3 linked regions of the Caenorhabditis elegans genome follow. The protein of the gene in region 2 interacts with the protein of the main gene of each other region in a pairwise test. Each region holds a gene or a part of one and is shown on either strand. Other genes may lie near its edges.

What was found.
Region 1: the proteins of col-122 (region 2) and sma-2 interact in a two-hybrid assay, tested with the Caenorhabditis elegans proteins (one large-scale study listed by BioGRID).
Region 3: the proteins of col-122 (region 2) and dve-1 interact in a two-hybrid assay, tested with the Caenorhabditis elegans proteins (one large-scale study listed by BioGRID).

What each region holds. Positions count from the first base shown.
Region 1 is NC_003281.10:8,744,994-8,756,894, reverse strand, and holds the start of sma-2 (Dwarfin sma-2), read right to left. Parts: upstream 7,216-11,901; 5' UTR 7,032-7,215; intron 6,983-7,031; 5' UTR 6,932-6,982; coding exon 6,929-6,931; intron 6,288-6,928; coding exon 6,236-6,287; intron 6,122-6,235; coding exon 6,018-6,121; intron 5,833-6,017; coding exon 5,755-5,832; intron 5,147-5,754; coding exon 4,848-5,146; intron 4,801-4,847; exon of another isoform or gene 4,596-4,800; coding exon of another isoform or gene 4,457-4,595; intron 4,408-4,456; coding exon of another isoform or gene 4,261-4,407; intron 3,875-4,260; coding exon of another isoform or gene 3,582-3,874; intron 3,533-3,581; coding exon of another isoform or gene 3,470-3,532; intron 3,425-3,469; coding exon of another isoform or gene 3,352-3,424; intron 3,287-3,351; coding exon of another isoform or gene 3,005-3,286; intron 2,958-3,004; coding exon of another isoform or gene 2,794-2,957; intron 2,748-2,793; coding exon of another isoform or gene 2,665-2,747; intron 2,617-2,664; coding exon of another isoform or gene 2,313-2,616; intron 2,267-2,312; coding exon of another isoform or gene 2,150-2,266; exon of another isoform or gene 2,145-2,149; intron 2,004-2,144; coding exon of another isoform or gene 1,930-2,003; intron 1,856-1,929; coding exon 1,542-1,855; intron 1,492-1,541; and 6 more. Other genes in the region: Mitochondrial import receptor subunit tomm-70, read left to right, coding at 2,150-2,266, 2,313-2,616, 2,665-2,747, 2,794-2,957, 3,005-3,286, 3,352-3,424, 3,470-3,532, 3,582-3,874 and 2 more; ugtp-1 (UDP-galactose translocator 1), read left to right, coding at 8,196-8,283, 8,488-8,612, 8,891-8,998, 9,044-9,172, 9,580-9,894, 10,134-10,436. UniProt on the Caenorhabditis elegans protein: Involved in TGF-beta pathway. Plays a role in male tail tip morphogenesis.
Region 2 is NC_003282.8:9,559,163-9,566,618, reverse strand, and holds col-122 (Nematode cuticle collagen N-terminal domain-containing protein), read right to left. Parts: upstream 3,241-7,456; 5' UTR 3,232-3,240; coding exon 3,211-3,231; intron 3,105-3,210; coding exon 2,223-3,104; 3' UTR 2,178-2,222; downstream 1-2,177. Other genes in the region: lron-14 (eLRR (extracellular Leucine-Rich Repeat) ONly), read left to right, coding at 14-175, 480-662, 708-856, 905-1,030, 1,072-1,329, 1,376-1,505, 1,568-1,684, 1,975-2,082 and 7 more; T05A1.5 (Major facilitator superfamily (MFS) profile domain-containing protein), read right to left, coding at 6,958-7,228, 7,342-7,456.
Region 3 is NC_003284.9:425,859-437,808, reverse strand, and holds dve-1 (Homeobox protein dve-1), read left to right. Parts: upstream 1-4,009; 5' UTR 4,010-4,015; coding exon 4,016-4,196; intron 4,197-4,308; exon of another isoform or gene 4,309-4,837; coding exon 4,838-4,964; exon of another isoform or gene 4,965-5,658; coding exon 5,659-5,773; intron 5,774-5,825; coding exon 5,826-5,935; intron 5,936-8,303; coding exon 8,304-8,466; intron 8,467-8,516; coding exon 8,517-8,816; intron 8,817-9,121; coding exon 9,122-9,269; intron 9,270-9,809; coding exon 9,810-9,988; intron 9,989-10,038; coding exon 10,039-10,122; 3' UTR 10,123-10,759; downstream 10,760-11,950.

The sequences.
Region 1 (11,901 bases), on a different chromosome or scaffold from region 2:
ACAGCCAATGGAGCATGAAGATGAATTTCAATCCAACAAGGTGTTGAAGTGACATCTTGTCGTTGATATTCAGCTCCCCAACCTTTGACAAATGACATACGAATAAATGTCATTTTTTGTAGATCAAATGAGGCGTCGAATCCACGGCGACTGCAGTCCTCGAGAAGCTGAAAAATTTAGTTTTTCTTATTAGGTCTCCAAATAAGTTCCGGGTCAAAAATCATAACTTTGTTCACTGCGTATCGATTTTTATGAAACTGTGGGAATTTATGTTATCAACCATGATCTTTCATTTGACAATAGTCACAAAATTTTTTGGCCGTCCGAAGTGCCCTAACTCGGAGCCAATGTTTTCAGGCATTTTTCAGATCTCGCTTCTTTTACGCTTTGATTTGAGGTTTGTGTGCGGATTTAGCTTTGTTTAGTACACAATGTAAGAAAACAAGAAAAGTTTAGAAAAAAATCCGTCCAAAAAAAAATTTTTTTGTCGGTCGTCAAAAAATGCTCAAAAAAGTTTTTGTCGAAAATTCTTGATTTTTTATACAAATATGATGTAACCATGTGCAAACTATTTATTTTGCACATGGTTACATCATTTTTGTATGAAAAATCAAGAATTTTGGACAAAAATTTTTTTGAACATTTTTTGACGACCGACAAAAAAAATTTTTTTTTTAACGGATTTTTTCCAAACTTTTCTTGTTTTCTTACATTGTGTACTAAACAAAGCTAAATCCGCACACGAACCTCAAATCAAAACGTAAAAGAAGCGAGATCTGAAAAATGCCTGAAAAATTTGGCTCCGAGTTAGGGCACTTCGGACGGCAAAAAAATTTTGTGACTATTGTCAAATGAAAGATCATGGTTGATAACATAAATTCCCACAGTTTCATAAAAATCGATACGCAGTGAACAAAGTTATGATTTTTGACCCGGAACTTATTTGGAGACCTAATAGTTTCAGTTACTATTTTTTGCCCAAGAACATGGCTTCGCCAGTTTTAATGTGTGTACCTTTAAAAAGTACAGTAACCCAGTTTTTTTCAAAAAGTATAAGAATAGGCTACCGTACTGCTTAAAGGTACACATATTGCTGTGAGACTGCAATTTTAAGTTATTTTGTGCGTGACGAGACCTTTTCTTGACTCAAACATTGCAATTACGTGAATTAGCTTACCTGTCTAAAAATCTCCATATCGAAAATCTTCAGTGAACACTTATTTGCAATTTTAACAACAGTTGTTGAGTGAAATCCATTGATATAATTACAATTACTAGATTGTACGAATATAGCTGAATCACTTTCACATTGAGCAAAGAGTGAGCCATTGCTACGTACGTAGGTTAGCTTGACACCTGGAATTACAAAAAGTTTGAAAATTTTCAATTTTTTAGTCATAGTCTTGCAAAAATTATGCGCCGAAGTACGGTACCCAATCTCCCGAAAATCAGGTTACTGTACTTCTTGAAGGCGCACGCGTGTTTTGCTCGGCCTTGATTTGAAAGTAATTCGTTCGTGGCGAGGCCGTGGGTGCTCTTACCGTTTCCAATATGTCTTCTTGTATTTTCAATAGTTGCATTTCGATTTACATTCGAAAACAGTCCCAGGCTAATTTTGCTTCCATTGATGCATGGATCAGTGAATCCATCGATAGTTATAGTTGTTGAAGACACTTTAACCTGTTCTCCGACTCTTGTATTCAATTCATAATAGCTAACAGTTGCCCAGAATTGTTCTTCCCAAACTTTATCGAATGGCACGAGACATGTTGGAACTCCTGGTGGAATGTCGAATTTCTGAGAAGTATCCATTTCCTCAATTCCATTTGGATTGTATTGATGAAATTGGTTGGCTCTAGAAAATTATTTATTAAATCCCTAATTAGAAAATATATTGATAATATTTCAACCTTTTTTTCTTTTCGTAACCTTTTCCCTCTCAAAGTTATTTTGGATCCAATTTTATTTACAACTTGCGACGATACTCCGGAATTCCACCGCATGCTGTTTATCGTAAATATTGCCTACTTTTCTTATCACTGAAATTTTACATCATTTTACCAATTTTTCTTCATTCTCTTTGAATTCTCAATTTTTCTAACTTAATCTTAACTTATATCATTTATCTATTTATTATTTTGTAGATATAATGGTCGAAACGACTGGAATCAGCGACCAAACGAAAAAAGTGCTGATCGGTGTGGCAGCTGCAGCGACAGTTGCAGGTGTAGGATACTTGGTATATAAGAGTTTTGGAGGTTCAGACGTGAGTTTCTAGTGTACAATGATATCAATTTCAAAACTAATTTCAGCTGGAAAGGGACTTGGAGGAAATAAAAGCATTGGGAAATTTGAAGTTTAAAGAGAAACAATACGATTCCGCACTAGAAGCATTCACAAAAGGAGTCGAAAAGGCCGGACCAAACTCTTCTGATCAAATTGTCGCAATGCTCTACCAAAATCGTGCAGCCTGTCGTGAAAAGGTTGGACACAGCCCTTTTGATATCCTCAACGACTGTATGGCTGCATTGAAAGTAGACAAAAAATACACCAAAGCATACTTGAGAGCAGCAAAAGCACTTAATGACGTCGGAAAGAAACAGGATGCTCTGGCGTGTGAGTTTCTGAAGATGTTACGAGAAAAGTATCAATTCCTGTTTTTAGATCTTCTTGCCGCGTTCACTTTGGATTCTAGCCTGAATAAGACGAATTTCGAATTCTTTGGAAAGCTTCTTGCTATAGAACCCGTAAGAGCCTAACAATTTCTTAAAGAAACTCAACTTTTTATTCTAGATGTCCGACTGTCACATTGGAAAACCACTCAAAATCGAAGATGTTAAGCCACAGCCAGTAGCTTTGTTCAGAATTCAGCAGTGGTGTGATACTTGGGATATTCTTGATCTTTTCAAAACAGATCTCACCAGATTCGAACCAGAAGTGCTCAGTGAAGACCAGAAGTAAGCTCTAATTCTAGATATACAGTAAAAATAATTATAAATTTCAGACAATACCAACTTGCACTGGAAAAGTTCAAAAAAGGAAAATACGAAGAACTGATTGATCTGCTTACTGAGGAAAACAGCTATCCTCCGGCAATGATCTTGCGTGGAAAAATGCTAAGCTACAGTACTGATCCTAACGAGGCAACGAGATATATCGATAAAGTTGGAGCAAAAATTAACGAACTGATTGGATCAGAAGAGGATGAGGAACGCAAAAAACTAATGAGAGATGCTTTCGATATTCTCAAGATTGAGCTAATGTATACTATGGCAGATTTGGATAAGTTAGTTTTTTTTCTTGATTTTCCAAAATATTTCCAGGTCTTGTCTAATTTTTTCTAATTTTCAGATTCCTGGAATCAGTTCCAAAAGACGATAAGGAAAGACTTTTCAAACTTTATTCGTTTGCATCTATTTTTGTGGTAATTCGATTAAATCATTTTTATTCTCTAAAAATATGGTTTCAGTATAATGGATGTGTTCTCGATACAGCAGTGACGAATCATGAGCAACAAATGATGGCGGATACAGTAAATTTAAATTCATAATTTTCTTATTTATAATTATTTAATTTTCCAGAACAATGCCAATAGACTTCTCACAGAAGCTGAAAAGAACGGAACTCTCACTCCACATCTTTCCATGATTGTTACATTCCTGAAGTTGTGTACCAGCGAAGACTACGCTGATGTTCATCGACGAATCCGAGAAATGGAAGAACTCGCAGAGAGTAGATCTACTCATTTCAATCTGGTTCTTATGTCCAAAGTATATATGATGACTAATAATGAGGAGAGCTCGAAGAAGTTGCTCGAAGAGGCTGCAAGGATTACTACGAGATATTTGGTGCCAAGTAGGCATTTGCAGACTGCGTAAGTTTAGATTTTAATTTTCTGAAATTCGCCGACTGGTACCAGTTGCCGAGATTTTATGAAAAAAAAAATAAAACAAAAAATCGAAAATTAAAAATTTTTTTTGACTTTTCGATTTTTTTCAAAAAAAAAAAAAAAAGAATCGAAGAATATACTCATAAAATTCGATTTTTGAAATAAATTTTGTTTCTGTTGTTGAAAAAAGAAGAAGTATAATTTTCTTTTAAAAGGAAGGAAAATGGCAAAAATTTAAGCTATCGGAAAGTTGAAAAATCAAAAAGTGCGAATTTTTTGTTCAATCACGTCATTAGGGACCAGCCTGCGAATTTTAAATTGAAATTCCCATCGGCTTCTAAGTTCTACGTTAAATACAATTAATTTTCCAGTGATCTCCACGTGCACAAACCAGAAGCTGAACGACTCAGATTGACAACTGAAAGTGCCAACGCAGCAATTGCAGTTGATCCATTCAATTTCTCGGCTCACGTTCTTCATCTTTTGGGAACTAACGGGCCAGAGCCGATGATCAAGAAGTAAGTAAAAAAGTTTCAGAGTTCCACTAAAAAATCCAAGTCCTTTCAGAGAAAATTACGAGCGAGCAATGGAATCAATTCGAAATGCAGCTCTATTTGCCCCACCACGAGAACTTCTCATGTTGAAGAGAATGATTCCATTGATGAATGCTAAGAAACGTGCAGCTGAAATGCTCGATATGTATTAATTTAAAGAATTTTTGAATAGTTGATAGGCTGCTTTGTTACCTGTTTTTCCCCTCATTTCCCCGTTTTTTTTTTAAGTTTTCGGGTTTCTCAAAATCAACCCATCCGTTTTCCAGTTCCGTTCCTTACCTACTGTGTTCGTTTTCTTATTTTATTCTTCGCTTTTTTGTTTTTTTGTTCCCGATAATCTCATAAATACCAGATATTTCAATTTTTCTTCAATCAGTAATACCATATATTTTTTAAACACTTACGTAAAATTAACGTTTGCCATATTGACATTCTGCGGCATTCTTGATCCGCTCATCTCCATCAACTGAAATTTCGCCAGAGTTGGGGGCACTTCTTGTGGTGGTTTCTCGGAATAACGAGGTACAAGAACTGGTGGAAGTACTCCAGTTGCATGAACTCTTTTGTAATGATATGGATTAATGCAAATATCCTTTTGCCCTGATTCGTAGCAGAATCGGCAATCTTCAATTGCTTTCAATTCATGATGTGATTGAAGATCTGGCCAACGATAGACACGGCAATATATCACATGAGGAAGTGCCTGAATTTTTAGTACATAGGATTTGGAATTGTTCCTAACATTTTTTCTCAGAGTGGATTATTTGAATTTTCTGTGAAAAATGATAATCTCCAGCTGTTCAAACAAGCATTTCACGAAGAAGCTTCATTTCAAAAAAAATTGAAAATCGAACAAAAGATCAGCTAACGTTTATAAATTTTTTAAACTTTTAAATTTCATAAATTTAATATGATTTTTCATAATCTAGGTTAAGTTTTGGCTGGTGTAATTTTTGTGAAAATATCAAAAAATTAGCAGAAAAATCTATGTTTTTTCTAATATCGTTAGGATGTACTGTAGAAATTATGCAAATTTATAAATTAAAAATGCAAATGGGACTGACACGTGGACTTTTGCCCATAAAATCAAAAAAGATCAAATCAATTTTTGAAATTGTTCAAACGACTAGTTGACACAATTTTACAATTTAAAAATTTAATATCATTTTTCAAAATCTAGTCGGTCGATTAATCGAATAAGTAAGTCTGTCTCTGTTTCTAGTTGATGTTCATAAACAAATAGGGCACCCCTTCATTTTGAATTTGTTTACTTCTTCTCCCCATTATTCTCTTATTCTATACTAAAATCACCTTTCGATGCGAAATTTGAAGTCGTCCATCTAGTGACCGCGGAATTGTCACGCATTCGGTTTTTTGTTGTCCTTGGCACTGAAATGATATAGTTATTGATTTGAGGTTATTCTACGATTGAAATATCGGATATATGTAGTTTTTATTGATTTTTAACGAGTTTAAAGTATGTGTAGTCTATTGCTAGATTATTTCATTTCTATTCATAAAAAAGAAATCTTAAGATCAAATTGAAAGATTCAAAAGACACAAAACACATGAACCCTCAACGCGAATTCCAAATTTTCCAACGCCTGCTTGTTATGCTTTATCAGCTTCTTCATCAAGTTGTCGATCGCCTTTTTTGCCCAATTCTCATCCTCGTCTCCTGTAAAATACTTATTTCCGTCAGAAATCCGATTTCAGTTTCGATTCTAGATTTCCGCCGTTGATTGTAATATTTCCCCACCCTATTGGTCTTTTGGACAAAAATGAGACTTACCTTGTTTCCATTTCAGTCTCTCCGTGATCTTTTTTATTCCGTCGAAGTTTATCTGAAAGGTTCGTGGTTTTTTGTTGTGAAATAAAAAATGGTTATACAATTTTATCTATTTTCGAAAAATAAGAATTCTTGGGAATTGGGTTCTGATACGAATGAAATTTTTCAGCTACCGTACTCTCTATTACTATTTGTCTCTCTTGTCTCGATTTTTTCAAGAATTTTATTGTAGAAATCACATATTTTGGAAAAATGTTTAAACTACGTCAAATATTAAAATATGTAAAACGGAAGGTTCAAACTTTGAAAGCTGAGAATTTCAAAGTCTATGGTGTTCACGGGGTACTGTAGCTGAAAAATTACACACGTTCCAGGACTCAAGGCCCTGGTTTTGAGGAAGTAATAATAATTTTTACAAACTGGTAGTGGTTAGACAATATCGAGAAGATATTTCAGTTTCTTATTTCACAACAATATTTTGGGAAATTTTTAAACAAATTCTTTATAGGAAAACATAAAAAATGTAGCTACATTTTTTGAAATTTTTAAAAATGATTTTCGTATTTTTTTCAAAATTTTAAAGACTCATTGAGTTCAACAATTTGAATTCTATTTTTTTTTTTCTTTAAAAAATTTGAATTACAAAATTTCGAATTTTTTTTGAATGTTTATTCTTAAATACAAATAAAAACTTACCATGATTCTAATCTTCTTGAAATATTGTAAAAACTAATAGATCACAAGAAGATTCTATAAATAAGAAACATTGAAAATAGCCTGTAAATGCGCACTCCTTTACCTTTTTTTCTTTCTACCTCTGTAGCCTCTCTAAAGTGCCTGGTATCTCATAAATTGTTCTCAGCTTCACCAGCCCATCATCAACCGTCTAACTGTCTACTCATTGTTTTCAACTCTCCGTCTCTCCAAATTGTGCAATCATCTTCACAGATGTGTTTCCACCCGGCGACAGTCAACTTGTGTCCCTGCGCCCCCGTTATCGTCATTAGTAGCCAACTAGACATCATAGTATAGTAGAGAGACTCAGAATATATAAAATGAGACAGTGTTTGAAATAGGAAGACTTAGAGACGCAGAAGGGCGACAGTCTGGAGCCAAGCAGGGAATTAATGGAATTCATTTATTCATGTTTGAAAGGAAAACGGTATTGGGGAATATTCATCACTTTTGTTTGAGAAGGGACCAGGTGTCATCGGATAAAATAGTCTATGGTTGTTGTGAAGGTAGGCTTTGCAAAAACCGGTCTCACTAGATCAAGGAACACCAGAAAACACACTTTTTTGAAATTGTGTTGCTTTTGTGCTTAAATTAAGAGAAAAATTCTTGCAGCAGAAAATATTTCACGCCCTAAAATTTTGATTTTCATGGTTTACAAATTACCGAATTTTATCAGAAAGCATAATTTTCTGAAAAGAAAAGATTCCGAGAATCTCAAAAGATATAGAAATTTCTAGTCTGCTCTATGCACTCATTCAATATTTACATTTTCTATATAATTTCAATTTTAACGAATTTTCATAAGTAGATTCTTTGACAGAAGGTCAAGTAGTGTCTTGTCCTTGAAATTTCCTTCTTTGTTAATTCATGTTGCTAAGGAACATAAGCGTTGCTTGGAAGCATCGGAAAATGTTATATTTTTTTGTTCTCAATGCATTTTCAAATATTTCATTTCTAGAGAATATCTATCTATTTTTCAGTCTTTTAAAAAGTATCAAAAAATGATTTCATGGGTTTTATCATCGCGTTTGTGAATAATGATACTTCCTCTCAATTTTATGCATGAACGTGGCGTTTTTACAATAAAAAAGAGAAGAATGATCTAGACAAACATACACCCTTTTTATCAGACATCATACCCCAATAGCACATTTTCTTATCTTTTTTTTTCTGAAAGCATTTTTCAATATTTACTGATTATTTTTTATGAAATATACAACTTTCAGGAATGAAATTCCAAAATGTACATATATCACATCAAGATGAGGACAAGGAGAAGCTACTGCCAAACGATAAGGATGTGGAGAAAGCGGATGGTAGGAAGTTTCTAATATTATACAGTTTTCAAAAAGTTTTGGTATTTCTTCAAAAAAAAAACTTTCCGTAAAAATTGAAAAAAAAAATCGAAAAACAAATTATCGGAAAATTTACTCTCGACATTTTTTAAGTTTTCGTATGTTATTTTAAAAATTTATATAATTCCTTCTCAAAACTCTGTATCAAAATGCCAAGTATTTCAGAATCCCCGTCATCATCTCGTCCAAGTTTTGTCTTCAAATGCTATGTTATTGCCAGTATGACATTCATTTGGACAGCTTACACATTAACAATCAAATACACAAGGAGTACTGTAAATCCAGATATGGTAATATATTTTGAAATATAGTTTTGGAAGACTTTGATTATTGAATTTTCAGAAATTTTTTTTTTTCAAAATTCAAAATTCAAAAAGTTTGACAATAAAATACAATTGATAATTCATAGCGAAATATAAAAAATCATGTTTAACTTTTCTGAAAAAAATCCAAAGTGTGAAAACGGTTTTAAGAAAAATTTTTTTTTTTTTGATCCCAAAGCACCAAAAAAACACACAGAATTGATACAAATATTTCAATTTTTCGAAAGTATGCATTTTTATTTCAGATGTATTCTTCAACATCAGTAGTCTTATGTGCCGAAATTTTGAAATTAGTGATCACATTTGCAATGTTCTACAAAGAATGTAACTTTGATAGCAGACAATTTTCCGAGGTAGATCTACCGTATTCTTTGAAATCTTAAAATTATAATTTACAGCAAGTCAGTAAATATTACATAAATGCTCCACGAGAACTTGCCAAAATGAGTGTCCCATCGTTTGCGTATGCTCTTCAGAATAATTTGGATTTTGTGGGATTGTCGAATTTGGATGCGGGACTTTATCAGGTAAATTGTCATAGAAATATTAAAAAATATATAATCAAAAAACCTTTTTTCCTATGAAAATAACAAAAAGAATCAATTTTTCATTAAAACCAAACAAAAAAAATTTTCAAAAAATAACCAAAAAATTAAAAGTTTTTCCAGGAAAAAAATCGAGTTTTTCAAAATAATATGTTTTTTCTTTTTCAAAAAAATCCATTAAAAACCATTAAAAAATCAATTTTTCCCAAAAAAAAAACCCAACTCTTTTTTTCAGAAAAAAACGATGCAGAAATGTTTTGTTTTAATTTTTCACAAAAAACCCTTTAAAAGCCAAAAAAAAAATTCTTTTTTTTTTCTCCAAAACAAAACAAAAATTATTATTTTCAAAAATCCAAAAAAACCCTACTTTTTCAAGAAAAAAATTGCAGGTCACAACTCAATTGAAAGTCGTCTCTACAGCTTTTTTCATGATGCTCTTTCTCGGTCGAAAGTTCTCAACTCGTCGATGGATGGCAATTACACTTCTAATGTTTGGAGTAGCATTTGTTCAAATGAACAATGTTTCTGCATCAGAAGCCAATACAAAACGAGAAACTGCTGAAAATTATATTGTCGGATTATCAGCTGTACTGGCAACGTGTGTAACTGCTGGATTTGCTGGAGTCTATTTTGAGAAGATGTTGAAAGATGGTGGAAGTACACCATTTTGGATTCGTAATATGCAAATGTACAGTTGTGGAGTGGTAAGTTACTGAAATTTCAAAATTTCCTAGTTTATTTACTTACCATCCAATTGAATAAATCAAACTTCTGAAAGTTAAAAAAAAATCAGAAACTATTTAGGGTTTTTTTTTCAAATCGTTTGAAAAATAGAGATTCGAAATAATTGAATATTACTAAAAACCAATTTAGACTTATTAATAAAATCTAAGCTCAATTAATCTCAGAAAGTCGAATTTCGAAAATTTCCAATTTTTTCCAGATCAGTGCTTCAATCGCTTGTCTCACGGATTTTTCGCGGATCTCCGATAAGGGATTTTTCTTCGGTTACACGGACAAAGTATGGGCAGTTGTGATTCTTCTTGGCGTTGGAGGCCTCTACATTTCTCTTGTGATGCGATATCTTGATAATCTGTACAAATCAATGGCTTCAGCAGTCTCTATCATTCTAGTTGTTGTTCTTTCGATGCTCATATTTCCAGATATTTTCATTGGAATGTATTTTGTACTTGGAACCATTTGTGTTGTTCTTGCTGTTCTTTTGTATAACTCTGTTAACGAGTAGGATTCACAATTTGCTTCTTTTTTTCAGTTTTAGAAAAACCATCATTTTTTGATTACACATTCTTCCGGGTTACTTGATTTTTCTGTGTATTAGCCAAAAGCTTTAATTGTATAAACTTAATGCTTGGATTTCTTTGTATTTTTGGGGTTTTATTCTATTGCATTTTTTGTGTTTTTTTGGATCGTGGTTTTATGTTATAAACTTCCTCGATTCTCGATGGCAAATAAAAAGCATTCATATTTTTTCCTAATTTGTTCCAATCCACAGAATTCCTGACCAATTGTGCGAACGCTCTGGAGCAGAAGCAAGGGCTCCTCCTCTTTCCTTCTTCCTGCTCTAAAACTATAAGCCATTAGTGCTCAGGTGGCTCATAAATTCTCGCCAAATAACAGAATTCCAATGGCTCCCTGGAGATATCTCGCAATTTGCTCAGTCAGTAGTTTGGCAAGTGTGTGTTTGACAGGAAGGATGCATGTGGTCGATGTTTAATTAGATGGGAATTCAGAAAAAGAGACGACAGAAACGGATTGGCGGCGAATGGAACTGAAAAGATAGAAAGATGAACGAAACTTTCTCTTTTCTTTTTCAAGCCATCCCAATGTCCGAGCATTTTTTTATATATTTTATGATCAATTTCGACCATCCATTGATTATCCGAATTTTCTAAAACTCTTTCTTGAGTGTGCACGGATTTATATGAATGGGTCTCACCGCGAGTTTATGGTAGCGTTTTTTTCTCTTAAATAACATATCAAGTTCTGAAAAACAGAGACTTCGAATTACAGCCAATTGCAATTTTTATGGTACATGTCTTTTGGAGAAATTGTCTGAAGTACCTACCTTTCTAAAAATTATTATTCTTTTCTCAGAAATGATGCCCGGATTCTTTTAGTTAACTGTATTTCAATCGTTTTTTTATTGAGAGTTGGAAATTTTTCGAGAATATTTATTTGGTCTTTAGGTTTTTTTAAATACTATTTTCGAATGTTCAAACCTTTCTGCCAAGCTGGATTATTTTAAATAAATTTCTCAAACACTCAAGCCCTTCACAACTTAATTTTATAGATTTTCCCAGAAGACACAAAATTTTACAAAACTTTCCCATCATTTCAAAAAACTCAAAAAACACTAGAAACCCATTGTCAATAGTTATACACCCTCATAATGTGTTCGTTTTTTTTTTCTTTGAGAATCCTTCTTCTCATCTATCTTCGTTACCTAATCCCACTGAAGGTTCCCATTTGTTTTGGACCTTTTGTGTAGGATTCATTTTAACATCTGAAATTCAGTTTTCGTATAGATATTGAATATCACAAAGCTTCTGAAATTTTAAATATTCAACAGCAAACCGACTTTTGTACAAAAAAATTGCTGTCCCTCAAATATCTCAAAACATTTTTCCATTCAAGTAGTTTATCAGATTCCGTTCTTTTTCCATCTTTTCTTTTTCTTTTTCCAAATCCAA
Region 2 (7,456 bases):
TTCTTCATGGTATATGTCCGTCCTCCCGCTTCTTCATCTTTTTCTCATTTCTTCTCTTCAAATCGCCCCAACTGCCACGTCATCACCTTCCCAATTTCCGTGTCCGACAAGATGTCAATGCTATGCGGATAACGAGCAGAACCAACAAGTACATCTCATTTGCAAGTGGGAACAGGTAATTGAATGGACATGTATGTGTAGGGGGCAATAGCAAAAGTGACTAGCCATCGCAATTATCAATTAGTCACTGCATCAATGCATGTTTGGTATAACAGTACATTACAGAGAACATGGACATGTTATTTTAAAGAACAGCAAGGGAAGTAATTTAATTTAGTTTCGATAAGAATTTTTACACTGGACTTAAAAAGCAATGTTTGAGTAGTTTTGTTATGAAATTCAGTCTTTTGGGTTCATTTTAAATTTATTAAGACAATTCAAGTCGTTTACTCCTCCGTTTAACTACATAACGTTTTCAGCTGAATGTGACTACTCTCCAACTTGCACGTCCTGATCTCGTCCGAACTCTTACTATAAAATGCCCTTATCATTCTCCAAAAGTATCAACTCCACCTCATTCATTATTTCAAGGGTTTCGAAATCTAGATCGTCTCGAATTAGATAGATGCTTAATTGATACTGTTCCAGAAGGACTTTTTGCGGTTAGAATTTTCAGAGAAAACATTTGTAATTGTATTGATGTTCAGGGTCTTGGTCAACTCTATTCCCTTATCGTTAAAAATGCAAAAATTACCGATTTTCCTCGAGAGATATTCGCCCATGTTCCCAACTTGATGACATTGGATCTTTCTGGGAATCGATTGAGAATTGAACCATATTCATTAAGATCATTACAGTAATTATTCTTAAAAATGAAGTTAAAAATGAATATTCAAATTTTCAGAAACTTGATTCACTTGGATGTAAGTGACAATGATATTGGATTTCTGACAAATACGTTGATATCCCTGACAAAGTTAAAAGTTATCACAATGAACAACAATAAGATAACGAATATCGATTTCAGAAGGTTTTAAAAACATTTATTTGTTTTAAAAAATAAATTTTCAGATTTCCTGAAAACCTGACCGACTTATCAATTCGGCATAACCTCGTCTCCACAATTCACTATGTTCCAGCAAGTGCTAGAAATCTGAAACGCCTTGATTTGGCTGGAAATCGAATGGAATTTGTTGGTGGTTTGACGACTGGAGCTGTGAATGTATTGCCTGCAGAGTTGAAACACGTGGATTTGTCGAATAACAAGTTGACGTATTTACATGATCATGCATTTGAGCACTTGACAAATTTGATTTTGCTGGATTTAAAGTTGGTTTTGTATTGAAAAAGTATTTTCCGAACATTATTCTTGCAGAAACAACAGCCTAAAGGAAGTGAAGTCATCAAGTTTTGCTGGTTCCAAATTTCAAGTCAAATTGTTTTTATCCGAGAATCCACTACTATGTCACTGTAATCATAAATGGTTAATGGATTCTTCTGCTAAAGTTTGTTTTTGAAGTTTTTACACAATTTCTAATTTTTTGGTATTACGTTTGATATTTTTTAGAACATATCAATTGGAGACCTTCAGACAATTGAATGTCTCAATATATTGAAACCAGAAAAGAAAATGCTGCTCACGTTAGCTCATTCAAGGAATCAACTGCTCTGCAAATATTCTAATGTAAGTTATTTTATAAATGTTTCATTTTAATTGAAAAAACAATTGGTGGCGTACTACCAATATAATTCGATTTAAAAGAGACTAAGATGTATAGTTTAATAAAACCGTGCTGAGAAAAAGCCTGATATCAAACAACAGTAATTATATACCCAACAGACTTTAATTATGCTATCAAACATTTTCTTCAAAAAATTAATCGAGAAAATTGAACTGATAATTAAAAAAGGTTTCAAGGTAGGCTAAAAAAAATTTCAAATACATAGTAACTTTGAAACAGTAATTTTTTTCAGATGTGTGAAGCAGATTGTGAATGTTGTCAGAAAAAAGAATGTGAATGTCGTTTCGAATGCCCGCCGACGTGCAAATGCTTGAGATCTGCGGATGTCTCTATTGTGAGGGTATGATTTTTGGAAACTGGGAAATTAGATATTTCATCAATTCTAGCTTTTTGAAAAACTCATTTTGTGTATTTTCGAACTAAAAAAACAATATTGGAATGCTAAACTCTTTATGAAAAATGGGAGAGACGAAATAAAATCTAGCGTCTGGATCCGTCCTCGAAGAAGACTCCTCCATCGATAGCACAGTATTTTGGACAGATTCCCTTCTCTCCTGGAGTTCCATCGGATCCTGGAAGTCCTGGTTGTCCTGGAGCTCCATCTTGTCCTGGCTCTCCTGGTCCTCCACGTGGTCCTGGTTGTCCTGGGGATCCTGGAGCTCCATCCTTGCCCTTGATTCCAGCAACTCCACGTGGTCCACGTGGTCCAGCACGTCCTGGCTGTCCTGGTTGTCCTGGCTTTGGCTCGTCGGAGTGTCCTGGTGGTCCTGGTGGTCCTTGGGATCCTGGCTTTCCTGGGTGTCCGTTTGGTCCGTGTGGTCCTGGTTGTCCTGGTTGTCCTGGTCCTCCATTTGGTCCATCGTGCCCTGGTGGTCCTGGTGGTCCCTCGGATCCTGGCTTTCCTGGTGCTCCTGGAGCTCCTGGTGGCCCTGGTGGGCAAGCTGGGCATGGTGGTGGGGTTAATGGTTCACATGGTGACTGTGGTGGCTTTCCTGGGTGTCCTGGGGCTCCTGGTGCACCTGGGCGTCCTGGAGTTCCTGGGCGTCCGGCAGCTCCGACTGATCCAGCGGCTCCTGGCAAGCAGCATCCGTCGCAGCTATTGTGCTCCTGGGCTGGGGCGTCTTGAACGGCAACATCGTATCCAGCTTGACGCGCGGTACGGTTCCCTCTCCCGGGAAGAGCTGGCATAGCGACAGCGGTAGCATATACCGTGTTAACGGTGTCACGGCAGTGACGGAGCTCAGAGTGCATTTGAGAGCGGAGGTTGCTCACATAAGAATAAACGAGTGGAAGAGTAATGCAAACGGAAAGAATTCCGACAGCTGAGAGGGAGACTGCGGCATACCCGATGAGACGGTAGGCCTGAAAAATTGTATAATTTTCGAAAAATAAGAGTCATGAATGGTTTTTAAAATTAAATTCTAAAGCCTCTTAGAACTTTAAACTAAACCAAACAATTTGTGAATACCTTGATTTTGTTGTCCTCCATTTTTGAGATGATCAAGATTGGATGATGCCTTTCCATGTTAAACCCATTCCTTTTATACTGACAATTTTCTCTTGATCACTGTTTCCTTTTTTCATTTTTTTTTTCATTTTGTGTTACCAAATCTATGTCTCCACATTTCCCATTATCACTCATCCTATCACTATGGATCTATCTTTGTTGTCAGGTACGCCCGCGCGGTTTCGCTAACTTTACACTTTCCAATTGGTTTTTTCTTGGATGATAAGGCACAATAGAAGAGAAACGGAACTAATTTGAAACTTTTTTGGTTAACCCGGAACATTATTTCAGACATCTCAAAACATTATGGTTTGCGACAAACTTCGATGGGATAAGCTCGGAAAATTTCCATCCCCATTGACACAATTACATATGAATCAGACTGATTGGAAGATTTTTGAGGTTTTTTTTTCTTTGGAAGAATTCATTAGACATCAAGACTTTTAGACCGAGAAATTGAAAGAACTGAGCAACTTGCGAGCTTTGAAGATCACAAATAGCAAAATGACTTCAGTGGAAATGGTGAGTTATTTTTTGAATCCGGAGGTTAATTTTGAAAATTGAGGGAAACTTAACTAACTGGTTTTGTGTTCCTAAGGTTTTTCAAATATAGAACTATGTATTTTTCAATTATTTTATGCAATTGGATGTATTTATGTAAACAATTTTTTACTGTTTCGACATGCCTACTTATGCAGTATGATATTTGAAATTTTAATCCTGCTGTCATTGTGTTGTCCGAAAATTTCACCTAATTTAGAGCATCATCTAATTTAGTTAAATTCTAATCAATTTCCATATTTCGCAAATAATGTCCACAAAAAAATTATTTCAGGAAAAGCTCACTGATCTTGCCAATTTGACCCATCTCGAAATAACATCTTCTGCCATCACCTCAATTCCAGAAACCATTACAAAATTACCATCTTTAACTCATCTCTACTTATCTGATAACCCATTGGATCAACTTTCATCAACATCCTTAAATCATTTGGATGGTTTAAAAAAGGTTAGTCACTTCAAAAGGAAAGGACATTTGACCAGAAACCAGTTTATCTATGTTCCATCATGATAAGACAAAACAGTCATTTTTTGGTGGAATCATTGGGTTACAAAACGAAACTTTCCATTTCAGTTTGGTTGATAATAATAAAAGAGAAATTCAGATTCGATTGGGTGGGAATTTCAGCAGATTTGCCTGTGATTGTGAGTCACCATCGGATTTTCAGAGATGGTTGATGAGAAGAATTAATCGAGCAAAAGTAAGAACATAGTCACATAGTTTCAGAGCAAAAAAGTTTAAAAATTAATTTCTGTTTCATAAGTTTTACAAATATAGTAGTAAATTTTGAAATTTATTCCTGATCGCCAAATTGTTATGCACTCAAATGTGTAATGTTGAATTTTGTTTCTCCTAATGTTAAATTTAAAAATATTGAAGCTTTGTCAATAATACATTCATGGTGAGGGACATTTTTATTACTTTTTCGAAAAAGTTAAAAGTGAACGTGCCATGCTCAAGTTTTGAGCTGATCGTCATTATTTCGAATTATTGAAGGCAATTGGTTTTTGCCAGTAATAAACTAAAATTATTATACATTAGTTTTTATCTTAATTGTTTTCTTACTGAGAATGGGATTACTAAAAGCAAACTTTTCATTTGAAGATTTATGTACCATTTTAATTTACTTTCTGAAAAAAAACTGAGAAAAGTTTTTACTGTTTCAAAAATGCCACAAATCAAATTTTTTCAATTATTTTATGTTAATCAATATTTATTGTTCAAAATCTGATTTCGAGTGGTTTTAAAATAAATTTTTCAGATAGATGATATTGATGATTTATATTGTGATTTAAATGGTCATGGAACAGTTTGGATGTTGGAAGCTCTTCCAGGAACAAATGAAAGTGTATGCCTGGATCCAACTGAAGAAACTAAACAATGGATGACATTTGTGGAAAATGCACAAAAAGGAATAATGGAAAGAGTTTATACTTCAACTGAATCAACAACTAAATCTGAGAAAACAATGATGACAACTACATTGAAAAAGAGTATTTTGGATACGATGGATGAACTAGAAGGTGTCAAATCTACCGAAAAAATTAGTAATAAGTGAGTTGATTGGTTTGAAAATTCAGCGAAGCCAAAAAAAGTTTCTAAAAACTGAAAAAATTTTCAGAGTAATCTCAACGACAACCGTTCCCACAACAACTCCTCGATATCGCAAGAAATACAAGAATTATGACAATGAACCTCATAAATTTGTCAATGTTCTCATTTTCTTGCTCTTCTTATGTGTGATTATCTTGATAATTTCAATAGGAGTCACCGTATATTTGAAGTAAGTTTTCAAAATAAAATCTATTTGAATGATAGAATCAATAAAAGATTTCAGATTTTGGCATCCTGAAGAGCTTTTAATGAAGCGTCGGAAAAAAGAAAGACTTCGACCGGAAATTCAAAGAGAAGAAGAACCATTGCAGCATTTAGATTGAAGAAGAATAATAGAAGTTTTAGAATTGAAACGGGTATAGATTTTATTTTTTGGTATTTGTTTTTTCGAGCAGATAAATACATTTTATTCTTCAAAGTAAACATACAAAAAGTAGTTCTTGAAAAAAGAATGAGTTAAATGAAATAGTTGTATTGTGAAACATGGTTAGGCAGTTCTCAATTGCGTCGAAAAGTGTCATAAAAAATTGCCCGGCTTGTTTTGACCAAATAGCCAATGTTATTATTTATCATTCATCATTTTATCAATCGTTTTATCATTTTATCAATCGGCTTCCAAATGTTGGGTACATTTCAATGAACAGCATTATTGCAATTCTCTGAAATTACTGTTTTAACCTACTGTGAATGATTTGAAACAATTTCCTCATGAGTAAACTTCGTTTTTACAATTAGTTTCAAAGTTATTTTAATTCAGATTTTATAATTTTTGAAACAGCGAAAAATGTTTATACCCGGAAAAGAAACAAAAATGTTGTTGAAAACAGTGAAATTATGCAAGCGATTGTTGTTGACTTCTTGGAACATTATGATTCTCTTTTGTTTCAGGTAATATTGTCGTTAGAATTGTACAAATAAATGAGCAAAGCGCATAAAACAAGTAGTGGAGTCCGGGGAAGAATATGTCCTGAAAACGATAAAGATGTCATTCTAAAATTTGAAGAAATATCTTGATTACCATTGCAGGGACATGAGGAGCAACAACTGCTCCAAGATTTGAAATTGTCGCACAAGTACCAAGGCATATACTTCTGAAAGTTCATCTAATTTGCTGAAGTTTTGTGATAACATTTCAAAGATAGTTTGAAACAGTATTTTGATTTTTAATAACATTTTATTTTTGTTGAAAAAGTACCTGCAATTTGTTGGGAAAAGTTCAGCTCCGTAAACGAAACACAGCATAAATGCAGATGCAGCTGCAAACTTGGCAATGAGCCAAATTATCAAGAATATTTCTGGATCAGCCTCATGATCAAACAGGTACATGGAGAGTAGCGAAAAGGCAAGAATCAAATGAGAAACCATTACGGATGGTTTTCTTCCTAACCAGTCAATTGCGGCGGGAATCAAAAAATAAGAAGGAATTTCGACGAGACCAGAAAAAATATACGAGAGATGCATGTTATTAGAGCCAACTCCTGTTGCTGAGAGTGAAAGAGCACTGTAGATCATTAAATCAATTATCCTGAAAATTAATATTTCAAAATGGTAAAAATTTTGTCAAAAAATTTCCATAAAAATGTTTCAACAGCCGTGTTAGTGACCATGAGTTTTGATTGGAGAACAAGTTTTAATGTCTGAAGAAGTGATTCATTATCTTCTTCTCTACTTGACATATCCACAATCTGATCAGCATCATAATCAATTTCTTCATTTCCAACTCTTGATGCCATTTCTATCCATTTCACCAAATCATCTCGTTTTCTTTTTGCCACCAGAAATGAGAAACTTTCGGGTAGAGTACTGCAAGTTTTCAAATAAAGTGCTCAGGTTGTGTAGGCGTATTTTAACAAAATTTTGTTATTGTAGAAGAAAAAACCAAACTTCAGCTAATCATCTAGAGCATATGAACTTACAACATCATGAGAATTCCAAAAAGAACACATGGAACAGATGTGGCCAGTTGTACATAACGCCAAGTTGAGAAATACATGGCAAGCGGTGAAACTGAACAATATCCAATTACCCAAC
Region 3 (11,950 bases), on a different chromosome or scaffold from region 2:
GTTTTAATTTTGTTTTAATTATTTGTATTAAAACATTGTAGGGGTCGGAACGTGCGGCATTTCTTTAAATTTCTTCAAAAGCTAATATTTTTCAAAATGTTGGCAAGTTGCCAAAACTTTGGTCGGAGATTATGAAAAATCTAAAATTTTTTGAATTTTTTAATATGATATTTAATTTTTTGGTCATTATAAATATATTTAGACTAAATTCCCATTGGCGCTACTCCAAAGATTTGATTTCGCTAATTTGGAAAATGAATTATCAGAAAATATGTCTATGTGATGTATTTTGTAATAATTTTTAAATAGTAATACATTTGGTACAGTTTCTAGCTCCACTTCCTCATATTTCAAAAGTATTGTGCAATTCCAAAATATGTACATAATTCTGCAAGAACTGTTTAAATGTGATAACTGATATTATTTGTCACAAGGTGCTGGCCACAGAAAATCTTTTGTGTCCCCCCAGATGACAAAGCATTAGACAAAAGAGGCCTCCATCACCACCGCCCCCTCCATCCAGAACCAATATTTGATTCTCTCATCTTCTTCCTTCGTATAAACTTTTCAACTTTTTCGGTACAGTCAAAGAGTCATCCAAGCTGGGACATTTTCTTTCGAAACGGCTTTCTTATCACCAAAAGATGCTCCAGAAAATGGTGGAGACGCAGAGTATGCTAGGTAAGATGGAACACAGGCCGGTTCCAATAATTTCTGGGCCACTGGTCATTGACTTACAAGCTTCAGAGATTTTTAAAGTAACAGAGTAACAGCTGGCTTAGTTGATTTTGAAATTTAATACTTTCAAATGAAACAATTTTTTTAGTTGACAGCTTTTCCAGTCAAAATTGGGCCTATATTAAAATTAAAATTTTACAATTAACATTTTTCAGCTACTTTTCTCCTAAAATCCATTGTTTTGTTTTTCCGTTTTTTCCAGCGATTTAATGGTTTTTTTGTTCTCCCCCATTCCTGCTTTCATATCTGTCCATAACAGTGTATATTATTCACCATCCGCTCTGCCTCATACCCTTTTCAGTATGCCTTTTCTCCTACCCTTCCCCCTCTCTCTCTCTCTCTTCCCAACTCTTGTATATGTAGATGTGGTGGTACGGATTATCAGGCTCATGTTGATAACCGATGGTCGACTGACATTGTACAGTGCGCTTTCCTCCGCCCGGCTGGTTTTATTTCTGTTTCACACAACGCGCCTTATTCGACGTGTTATCTCGTGTGGACATGTGTGCTGTGCTCGGTGAGCTGAAGATCACATTGGCCCACACTTTTCTTCCTTATCTCTAACCTTGCTGGCTCTTGAATGATGACTAGAACTGGGTCATTTCGAAACCAACGATAGAATTTTGAAATCTATTTTCCATACAGTCTGGATTTAAAGAAGTTTAAACCCAAAAACATTCAATTTCTAAATCAACATCACTGTTTGTCATCTTTTTTTTTACATACGTCAGCAGTTTTGCCGCAGCCACACGTGTGTTCTGAGAGTAGATTGTAAATTTGAAAGCTACATATAAATTTGTATCAAATTTACGTGGGGATTTTGTCTGAATACACTTATAATAATCTAAAACAACCGAATATCATAATAAAACACTCCAAAAAATTTTATATTTTTAATAATTTCCGGTCAAAGTTTTGGCAAATTGCCAACATTTTTGAATAATTTGAGCTTTTGAAAAAAGTCCAAAGCAATGTCGCATGGATCCACCCCTACGATGTTTTAACACAAACAATTAAAACAAAATAACAGTAAAAAAACGTAGAAAAAATGTTTTTGTTTGGTCGACTTCCAAAATTATGAGTGGCAAAAACAGAGTAATTGCCACTTTTTGATTGTAAATAGAAAAAATTCAAAAAAAATTTTTGAAAGTTTTATTATGATATTCCGTCATTTTGGGACAACCACTCCACCTTTAGGATTTTCTTACTCAATTTTTGAATGTCCTACAGTTTTTGTATGTAAGAATCATATAATAAAACAAATTTGAAGAATCATACTGAAATCAGAATATTTATAATTCCTCTTTCAAAAATACTGAATATCATATAACAAGGGGCAAGCACCCACCATAACCCATCACATTATTCCATTCCCTACCATCTCTTTCTCCATTCGGTCCGGTCCATTGAGTTGGTAAACATATAATGTATATCGTATGATAAGGCCGCTGAATTTCAATTGACTTCCCCCCCCCCCCCCTCCTCTTTAATCTTCTCTTTTGCGTTACCGTACGATACGTAATATATGTAAAACTGAGATTTTTTGCATTGCCCCTTGAAGTCTAGAACTTCTCGACTTTCAAATTTGTAAGAAGGGTCTCATTTACCCTATACTTCTACTTCATGCTTCTTGTATAATCCCATCCGCGGGGTTGGTGTCTTCAAGCAACCGGGATTACTCTTTCCGGCTTATTCGAACCCCCTCTCCTTGCTTCAGTATTGCTCCAGATTGCAATTGTTTCAATTAGCCGCTACGATGACACCTAAACTAAATCCTCTAGGCTTAGGGGCACAAACATTCGTTTGTTAGAACTGATTATGTGGAGATGGAGCAAGATAATACAAGTGTAGAATACAATGATTAATCAATGAGTCTCACAGAGTTTTGCAAAAATTCTGAAAAATTAGATATTTCCAAAACCACGTTTTATACCAATTGTTGATTTTTGACTCATAGTAATTTTAACAATAAACCTTGTTAGATAAATTTCTAGAAACGGATTTGAGTTTTGGTGTGGCGAAGTATCAAAAGTGTACACATTATCTTATCGACAATAATCCCAAACCCACTCGGAGCTCCTAAGTAAATAGTGACTTGCATTCCAACCACTGTCTTATCTATAACTGGCAGACCCCCTCCTCTCCCGAAACGCGCATCCTTAAAATTTCTATAAGTAACTTAACCTTTATCTCTGCTGACACATCGGGACAATTCTAATTCTGATGCGCCCCTTATGCGATGTGTAGCGTCGTTATTTTCGATTTGACGGTGAGGAAAAGAGAAAGGCGGGGTTATAGGGTAGAAGAGTGAAGAGAGAGAGAAAATCTTGAACAAGTGGATTGTCTTTGTTCGATTCTTCTTTTTTCCTCCCTCAACGACGAAGACTAAGACGATGCCATACCACAACGACCCGAGGCTTTTCTCGAACTAGTAGTACATGATCGTTTCTACAGATGGGGGAGGGTTGGCAACCAGCCCCATCTTTCTTTTTTCCACTGTTTTCTACCTCACCTACCTATTTCTCCTCATCTTCCGCATTCTCTGCCTCTTTTAGACTCTTCCATCCGGTTCCTACATTATGCCATCTCGATCCCGACCTCCCCCCCCCTCAACCCCTCCTTACTACTTTCGCTCCATTCGTCGTCTTCAATCTCTTCTTGGCGACGACGTGGTCGCCTTCTTTCAGATTTTCCATATCAAATCTTGTTTTCGTTTTCGTTTCCATCCATTCTCATCTTCAACTTGTCTTCAGTAGCGAGTAAGAAGTAAGAAGAATGAGTACATGTCGCCTGATTCGTTGTTTTTATTTGTGTCTTAAGATTTCTAACCCCCTCTTGGACAGACTGCAAATCTGTTATCCAAACTTGGTGTCTCCCGTTCTTTTTTCATTAATCGCCTTAACAAATCCCACTATCTCCCTTTCTTCCATTTTTGTTGCTCTCCGCTCTATTCCATCGCAATTACGGTTGAATAGGTGCGCGCTTTCTTTTCCACCTTATTTGCTCCAACTAGCCACAACTACCATATCTCTTTTGCTCTTGCTCTCTCTCTCTCTCTTACTCGCTCTTTTTCTATCTATCTTCCCCGCATCATAGAAAGCCCCGCCTCCTCCATATCTATGAAAAGTGGGCGGGAAGTCCGCACACCAATCGGAGCGCAGAGCTAAATCTATCCAACTATCTTCTGGCTCTTCTTTCGATTCTTCTGCTATTAGTTTATCTCGATTTCTCATTTTTATTTTAAAAATTTCAAATATAAAGTTTCATTCAGCTAGATATGTTCCCAATGAGGGTAATCGTGGAAACAGTTCGCTCTCAACATTGCTTGACATGCTCAAACGAAGGACACATGATCACAGACACTTATGCAATTGTCGCAGGGACCACTACATTAAATCAACTCGTCGAAACTGTACTAGCAGCTCTTGGACATTCGAGCATGTCGACAAGTGCTCGAGGTTAGTTGAGAAAACATTTTGAAAATTGCCATAGACCTCGTGACTAGCTAAACTATTTTGGTATTAGTAGTACACATTCCTTATCTTCTTTTCTTTCATTTTTGTTCCTTTTTTTCATTCGCCAAAAACGGATAACAGATCTATCTTGTGATTGACAGATTTACCCTACTCTAGGCGAGTAAGTAATTGAGTATTGAGTGGGATCTCCTTTTCTTGACAACTACTTTCAGTTTCAATTCAATCTCATTGAAGCATAACGTGGTTGCGCAACTTCGCTATGCTGTAAGAAGATATACATCTTCCTCCTACCCCGAGATCACCCACTTTTTTTTGGCTAAGACGACCCTACCCACTCATGTGTTTTGTTCTGCGCCTCTTGCCAGATCAACGGTATTTCTGCGATTTCAGCGCCCTCCTCCCATTTTCTCACTTTCACGTTTTCTTCCACCTTAGTAGAAAGTGAAACAGACTGTCGAACCTGTTCTTTTCTCGGCGGCTTTGCCTCCTTGGTATCTACTTTCCCAAAGATTATGCAATCATGTGAAAGGGAAATCGGAAAGAAAACGAAGGGAATTGCATAGGGTTTTTTAAAAAAATATTTTGCATTTGTTGTCCGAAAATCGATAATTCAGAAATTTCAGGCCTCATACAAGTAAACAACTGGAAACCCTTGCCATTCGATCAAATTACTGAAAATTTAGATGACACTGTGGAAAACCTCTTCAAAGATATATCATCACATGTAGTGCTAAAAATATTGTCAAAACCGTAAGTGTTTCCTGAAGTATTCTTGTTTCACTCCGCACTATAACCTCATCTATCCCATCCAATCCCGCTCCAACCAGACGACTGTCGATCGGGAGGTTTGTGTGCTCCGGGGGGCTCATTCTGTAAAGGTGAGCAAAATCGCGCCTCACAACCCCTATACATCCTCTTTAGAACTACTCAAAGAAAATGGCAAACATAGGTATGTACAATGCGCGCCTCGCACACACACACATATATATAAACACATTCAGACATGTGTACAGGAGAGAAAAAGTGATGGAAGGAAAAAAGGGGGAAAACTCATTGAAATTGGCGGTGGCTGAAAAAAGATACATTTTGGGGCGCATTTCTAGTCATCAAAAGTCAAAGGAGCGGGAGGGTCCGGGGACCAACAAAATTATTTACCTAGATCCCCGTATGACTTATCCTATCTGTTTGCGGATTATTGTCGCTTCCTTCATTTCTTTATATCGTTCATATTCTATTGATATTTGGCATTTAGTTTGCTATCAAACATGGCACTCACAAATACCGCAAAAGCTTTAGCGCTTTGTCCTGCGACGCAATTTTTATGAGACCAATGAAAGCACAAACCATTCACGGACCGAATTCGATTTTTATAGCCCTATCCCTGGGCACACATATGCCTATACACACACACAATTTTATGACCATCATCATGATTTTCTTTCAGATCTACGGATTCAAATTCTGTGCAATGTATAAGTGAGGTGAAGAATAAACTCCTGAAAGCTGCAGTAAACAAAAATCCCAATGTTTTAACAAATGTGGATAATCAGCAGGTTAAGGTGGGTAGCTGCTATTTTCTCAATAATTCAATTTCAATTCTGATAATTGCAGGATGTCATCAACACAATCATTGCCGGAGATGAAACACTCTTGAATTCCGAACAAATTGGTGCAGTCAACGAATGGCTTGATACGCTGGAAACGAACGAGGATCGTAGAAGGTAAGATAGCGCCGCCCATGCAATGAGTTGCGAGCCAGTCAGCCAACCAGCCACCGTAATCCCGCTGTGCGTGTTGGATGTGAATAGAGGGGGGGGGGGGGCAGAGTTTGAGAGAAAAGACAGAGAGCAGTGACACGGGGGGTAGCGCCAAGTTAAGCCGCTATTCGGTGCTCGAGTTAAGCCCCCTCTCGGCTTGTTTGTAGAAATAGACTTTATGGATTGGTTAGGAATTTTGAGCTGCAGGCAGGATTGTGTATACATTGTGGTTGAAGGAAAAGTTATGAGAGAGCACCCATTTTGTTTATAAATTTTTGGGGAAATTTAGGAGATGGAATTTTGCTGTCTCTAGATATCAGGTAAAACCGATTCCTATCGGATATCATATAAACAATATACTTTTCCACGTCTGTGCATTCTTATTCACATCTGAAAAGAGAGGACTTAACTTAAATAGTTAGTTTCGTTTAATTTCCACCGCAAGGATTCATTGGAGCTCCCCCCCCCCCCCCGTCAGAATTTCAATTTCCTGAGGTTGTCTTCATCAAAAACCCGCCTTTTGTTTTCAAGTGTCGTAACAATCAGAATGGATAGGCGTCGGGGATTAACAAGCCGGCAGATTGTATCATTTGCTCTTTCTTTGGTGCCCATCATCACCATTCATCTTATTAGTGACAGCCCCCACACACAATGTGCGAAAACGATGATTGTTTGGGATTGGAAAAGAGTAGGGGATGGGTTCAATGGGAAGGGGAAGGCAAAGTGATGAAGATATACGTGAATGAAGTTAGAAACACTAGTTTATACCGAAGTATCTAAGAATTGCTTTGAAGACAAGTTTAATCTATAAAAAATTGTTTGAAACTGTAAAATCGTTATATAAAATTGATTTTTTTTACTTTATTACCCATTTGCGTAGCAGAAAACGTTTTTTTTTTTTTTTTTTTTTTTTTTTTTTTTTCTAAGCCTAAAAATAAAAAACTACACACGGTTTTATTTTAAAATGTTAAAATTTATTTTTTCAAAATGAGGTGAAATAATCCACAAGTACCAAAAATTTTCCTTGTTCTTAGTGCTAAAATAATAAAACACCGTACGCCTTCTATTATTTGCCAACTTAAAATGGTTGAGTTCAAAAATTTTTGAAAATCTAAAATTTTTAGGAGACGATTCACCAAATATGTGGCTTGTCAGAATTTAACAATTACCAAAACTCAAGTTTTATTTCGTAACTCAACTATAAATTCCACTAAGCCGGTTGACAGTACGGTTGATGCCCGGATAAGAGAGCAGTATTAGACTGAGATGAAGATAGCTAATTTCAAAAAAAAAACGAGACAAAAGACAAAACGATCAAATTCGGTCGTTCTCTAAGTGCCCTCCATCATGCCATTGTGTCTTTCTCAATTTCTCAAGAGAAGGAGGCTAAGAGATCAGGACTGGTTTTGGCCCCTTGTTGACCCGTGAAAACATCTCTGAAACTGCCACTGCCTGCTGATCTACATTCCCGAGACAACAAAGGGAAGAAGTCAAATTATAAGTGATGGAGACAGTTGTTTTCCACATATTCCTTTATTGAAACTCCTTCTTCCAACGAGAAGAAAAAAGGAAAAAGAAAAAGCTGAAATCAAGTTTTCCAGTCATCGAAGCACATCCAAATTTTCGAATTTCCAACTGTACAAATAATTGAGTTGTGTTGTGAGTAATCTTATTGTGACATACAGACACAAGAGAGGATACAAAACATGTACATATTGCTCTGAGGGAATGGGAACAGCAGAATAAAGGGCAAAATGGGAAAGGACGGCGGTGACGCATTCTGTAAAGAGTAATAAAGAATAGAAAAAGGGAGATTGAATGCGTTGTGTGCATACAGTGATATATCCAAACTGTTACCCGGGGGGGGGGGGGGGGCGCAAAAACAAGAAGAAGGGGACCCAGTATAACTATCAGAATGGAGTCGTGATTGGAGAAAAAGTGTCAGTAAAAAATGATTAAAAACTATCCTTACAAAAAACTTGTATACGAGTAATTACACCGTATTTCCTCTATTTGTATTGTACCACATTGTTCAACTTTAACTGTTTATATCTCAGTTATCGTTTGTGCTATTCGAAGTTGTTAACTAACAAAATATTTTTTCAGTTATTTTTCTATAGATTCGTAGTTAAAAATATATGTATATCTTTAAAGTGTATTTATACTCTTTAAAATGAATTAAGATATAACGTTTCAAAGTTAGGTAGTCGGGTGCAATACAAATAGAAGAAATACGCTACATGATTTTCTTTTCATTCCACTCTCAAGAAAGATAAACGCCTGCTTTCATATTACTTTCAGTACACATAATAATGTATGTATTTAATTTCAGCCCAACACAAGTACAAAGATTCAACACTCTTTACGAAATTCCACGTCTTGATAAATGGTTCAAATCCGATGCAAATCCATCTAAACAAAAAATGAACAATTACTTAAGCCAGCTCAATCAGAGTCCGTTCAGAAAGAACAATTCCAAGATCAGCTATCAACAGGTGAATTTAATGCGCCTACATATTACTCCATTAATCAAATGAATTTCCAGATTTGCAATTGGTTCACACAAAAACGCTCGAGTTCCCGTACCTTAGCTCCAGTAGACCTAGTGCAGGTCTCGTCAGCTCAGACAGCGGCGCAGCTGCTCCCGGGATTCCAACTCAACTTGCTCCAGTCCCTGTTTGGAGAACAACGTCAAAAATTTGATTTTTACGACAAACTGGATGAAACCAAGATTGTCGGCGGCTCCGACTCGCCATCTCCAGCCGATGATGAGATTCATAGCAATTCAGATGAAACTATTCAAGATACTTTGTTTTCCATCAATATTAAACCAGAACCGGAAATTGTAAGTTACGTTTGACTGTTTGTGCCATAGTTAGGTTGATTAGCGTTGCTCGTGCTGAAAAGCTTTGAAAAATCACGCTAAAAACGGATTTTCGGCTATTTCGATTCTGATTCACATTAAAGATAACATCTCCCAAATTGCTAAATATTACCGATAAGGTTATAAAGACCTAACACTACGGCCGAAAATCTGAATTTATTCCAAACTGTCAGCGTCGGCTGAGCGCCAATTAAAAATATTTTTCGACACAATTATGGTCCACCTTTAAAAATTATTCATCCCAAAACAAGCAACATTTCCTACAGGATTCAATTGCATCCTCCCCGGATATGGCAAACTCAATGCGCGAATCATTGTCCTCGACCTCCCCAAAGCTTCTCAGCGGGCTCGACCTCGGAGCATTCAGCACCCACTCATCATCCACCAACTCCATGCAAAACGCCAACTCATCAGGTACAACAAAGAGCTTTAAAACAGACAGGCTAACGGAAAAGAGAGGGAGATGGGTTGAACCAAGAACTCATAAATTAGAAGCGAGCACACACACACAAACACACATAGACATACACAAAGTGCGCGAAGACACATAACAAAGGGAGAAATGTGGGGCGTCGAATTTCGCACAGACAACCATTACGATCACTGAGATCTGAGGAAAAAAAAATGAGGCTAGGTATTGTGTTTACAGAAATAAAACAGAAAATCAACTGCAAACTTGATTTTGAGAAATATTCTAGGGATTTTGTACTGGCTCAAACTTATCGAGAAGGTGGCCATGTTCATGATACTCAGTCTGAAAACCTATATTGGTTGCTATCTCTAAAACGCTCTTAGATTGCGTTTGCTATGCATATGAAAAATGACTGCATAAAAATTCTCTATCTTTTCGACAAGAAAACTTTAAGGTGGAATTTTACTTCTATTTTTCGATAAAATCACTGACGCGGAACGTTTGAAAAAATTCAACGATAAAGCAAATAATCTCCGTTTTAGTGTTTTCAGCGGCTCGCTCACGCCTGATGTTCGACCCACTCACCGAGCTACCCGTCCTCGAAAAATGGTTCGAAGAGAATCCTCACCCGACATGGATGCAAATCGATCAGTACACACAATGCTTGAACAACTGCGCTTATCGAGAGAATTATCCGCATATTAGTCAGCACAATGTGAAGGTAATATTCTATATTAATACTGATTACTAGTTATCGAATTCGAATTGCAGATCTGGTTCAAAAATCGACGTGCAAAATGCAAGCGATTGTTGAATGGAATGCAGGAAAAGCTTGAGCAGAAGGTTTTCGTATAAAATTAAAATTTCCAACTTTTTTCAAAATCTTATTATCTTTAATTTCGAAAGAACATTAAGTTTTTCACATCAATAGTTCCTTCTTTAACCGTCATACTGGTGTACCCCTTGAATTCCTGATCTTCAGTGCCCCACAATTTCTCTTCAACGAAGAGCAAAATCACTACTTCATTTTTCATTCCAGCTGTGATTTTTGTCTGTAAGCTACACCTAATCGCTAGCTGTATATCTCGACGCATCTTTCGTTCTGCAAAACTTCTAGTCGCTTCTTGTCTTGTTTAACCTTGATGGGAAATTAAGCCGGCTTTAATTTCCTTCTTTCTTTCAATCAACAATTTCCCATCGCTTTCTTTGTCTCTTTCAATGTTCCACAGATCACATAGTTTTAATGGTTTTTCAATGTTTCCCTTCTTACCGTCACACTACTTTCCAATATTATTCATCTTAATTTTATGTCTACCACTTCCAATATCAATCTTGCCCACCGTTTTCTCAATTTTTTTTGTCAAATTTAAACTTTTCTCTGCTTTTCAGTTGTGCTTCAGCCCTTTATATGCCAAAAACTTTTATTCAGAATTTTGACATACAACCACGTTTATTTCTTTTTATTTGAATGTTTTGAGAAATAAAGTTTTTTTTTTCAGAAAAAAAATTTTACAAAAAATGGTCAATTTTTTATTTAAAAAATTGGCACACAAAAATAAAAACAGACATGATTGTAGGAGAAAATTTTCAGACTTTTCAAGAAATTATAACTTTTAAAAAGCTATTTTTGGAGAAAAAAGCTCCCTATTTTAACAATAAAGTTTTGAGCCATTTCACGCGTGCACCAAAAAAAATGTCTGAGAAAAATGTCAGGGGTACGAGTTGAGTTTTCCTTTTCAAATTTTTTGTAAAAAAATATTCAGAACACTATCTAGAGCGACAAAAAACTTGGTTGGTGAAAACTCGTTCTAAAATCTGGCACTGAAGTTACTTCCTTCCGCTAACAACTTGTCAGGTGCAATCTAAGTTTCGACTAAAAAAAACAATTATTATTTCAAAGCTGGATAATTTATTCGAATTTTCGAAATATTGCAGAACTGAAAAGAAAAGAAGTTTTCCATAAACTTGGATTGTCAGTCAAATCTTGCAAGGACGTACACGTTGTAGGTTTGCCTTGGAAGAGGTCGTCCACTTCAACATGCAGTCCAGTTATACTCACTAGGAAAGTAATTTAACTCACTTTCAGACTTTCAAATTGAATTTATAAGAACTTAAAGCGGGTTTTCATCAAAAAATAACAATGGAATATAAAGAAGTCGATTTGATATTCTCCGAGCACGTTTTCACTGCTTTTGTAACGTTTGCAACTATTACAAATGAGGAAGTTTGCAATTTTGTAATGCTTTTAATAAAGTCTAAAAATAGGCAAAACAATTTAATAAATTTTTTTTTTTAAATATTTCAGAATTTTTGTTCAGCCTAAAACGTCTTAACAATTGCCTCAAAATCTTTTTAAAGCAGTTTTATTTATACTTTTGCGGAAACTTTGCAATAATCCTATAAATAGCATAAATAAACATTTTTTAAAGTGAAAACAAAGTTTCATTGGTGGTTTAAAAAATTTATAAAGCTTTATAGAACGTTGCCAGTGTAATACAACTGTTAAAACATAACTCACTTGAATAAATCACATGAAAAATTGTTTGATTAATAAAAAAACTTGTAAGTAACAAAAAACCTGCAAGTTCTCGACTGTAAAAACAACAGCTGGAAGCAAAGTGGAACGCTTAACCATTTTTATTTCTGTTTCCCACTGTCTTTTCCAGAAGTTCCTGAAATGTAA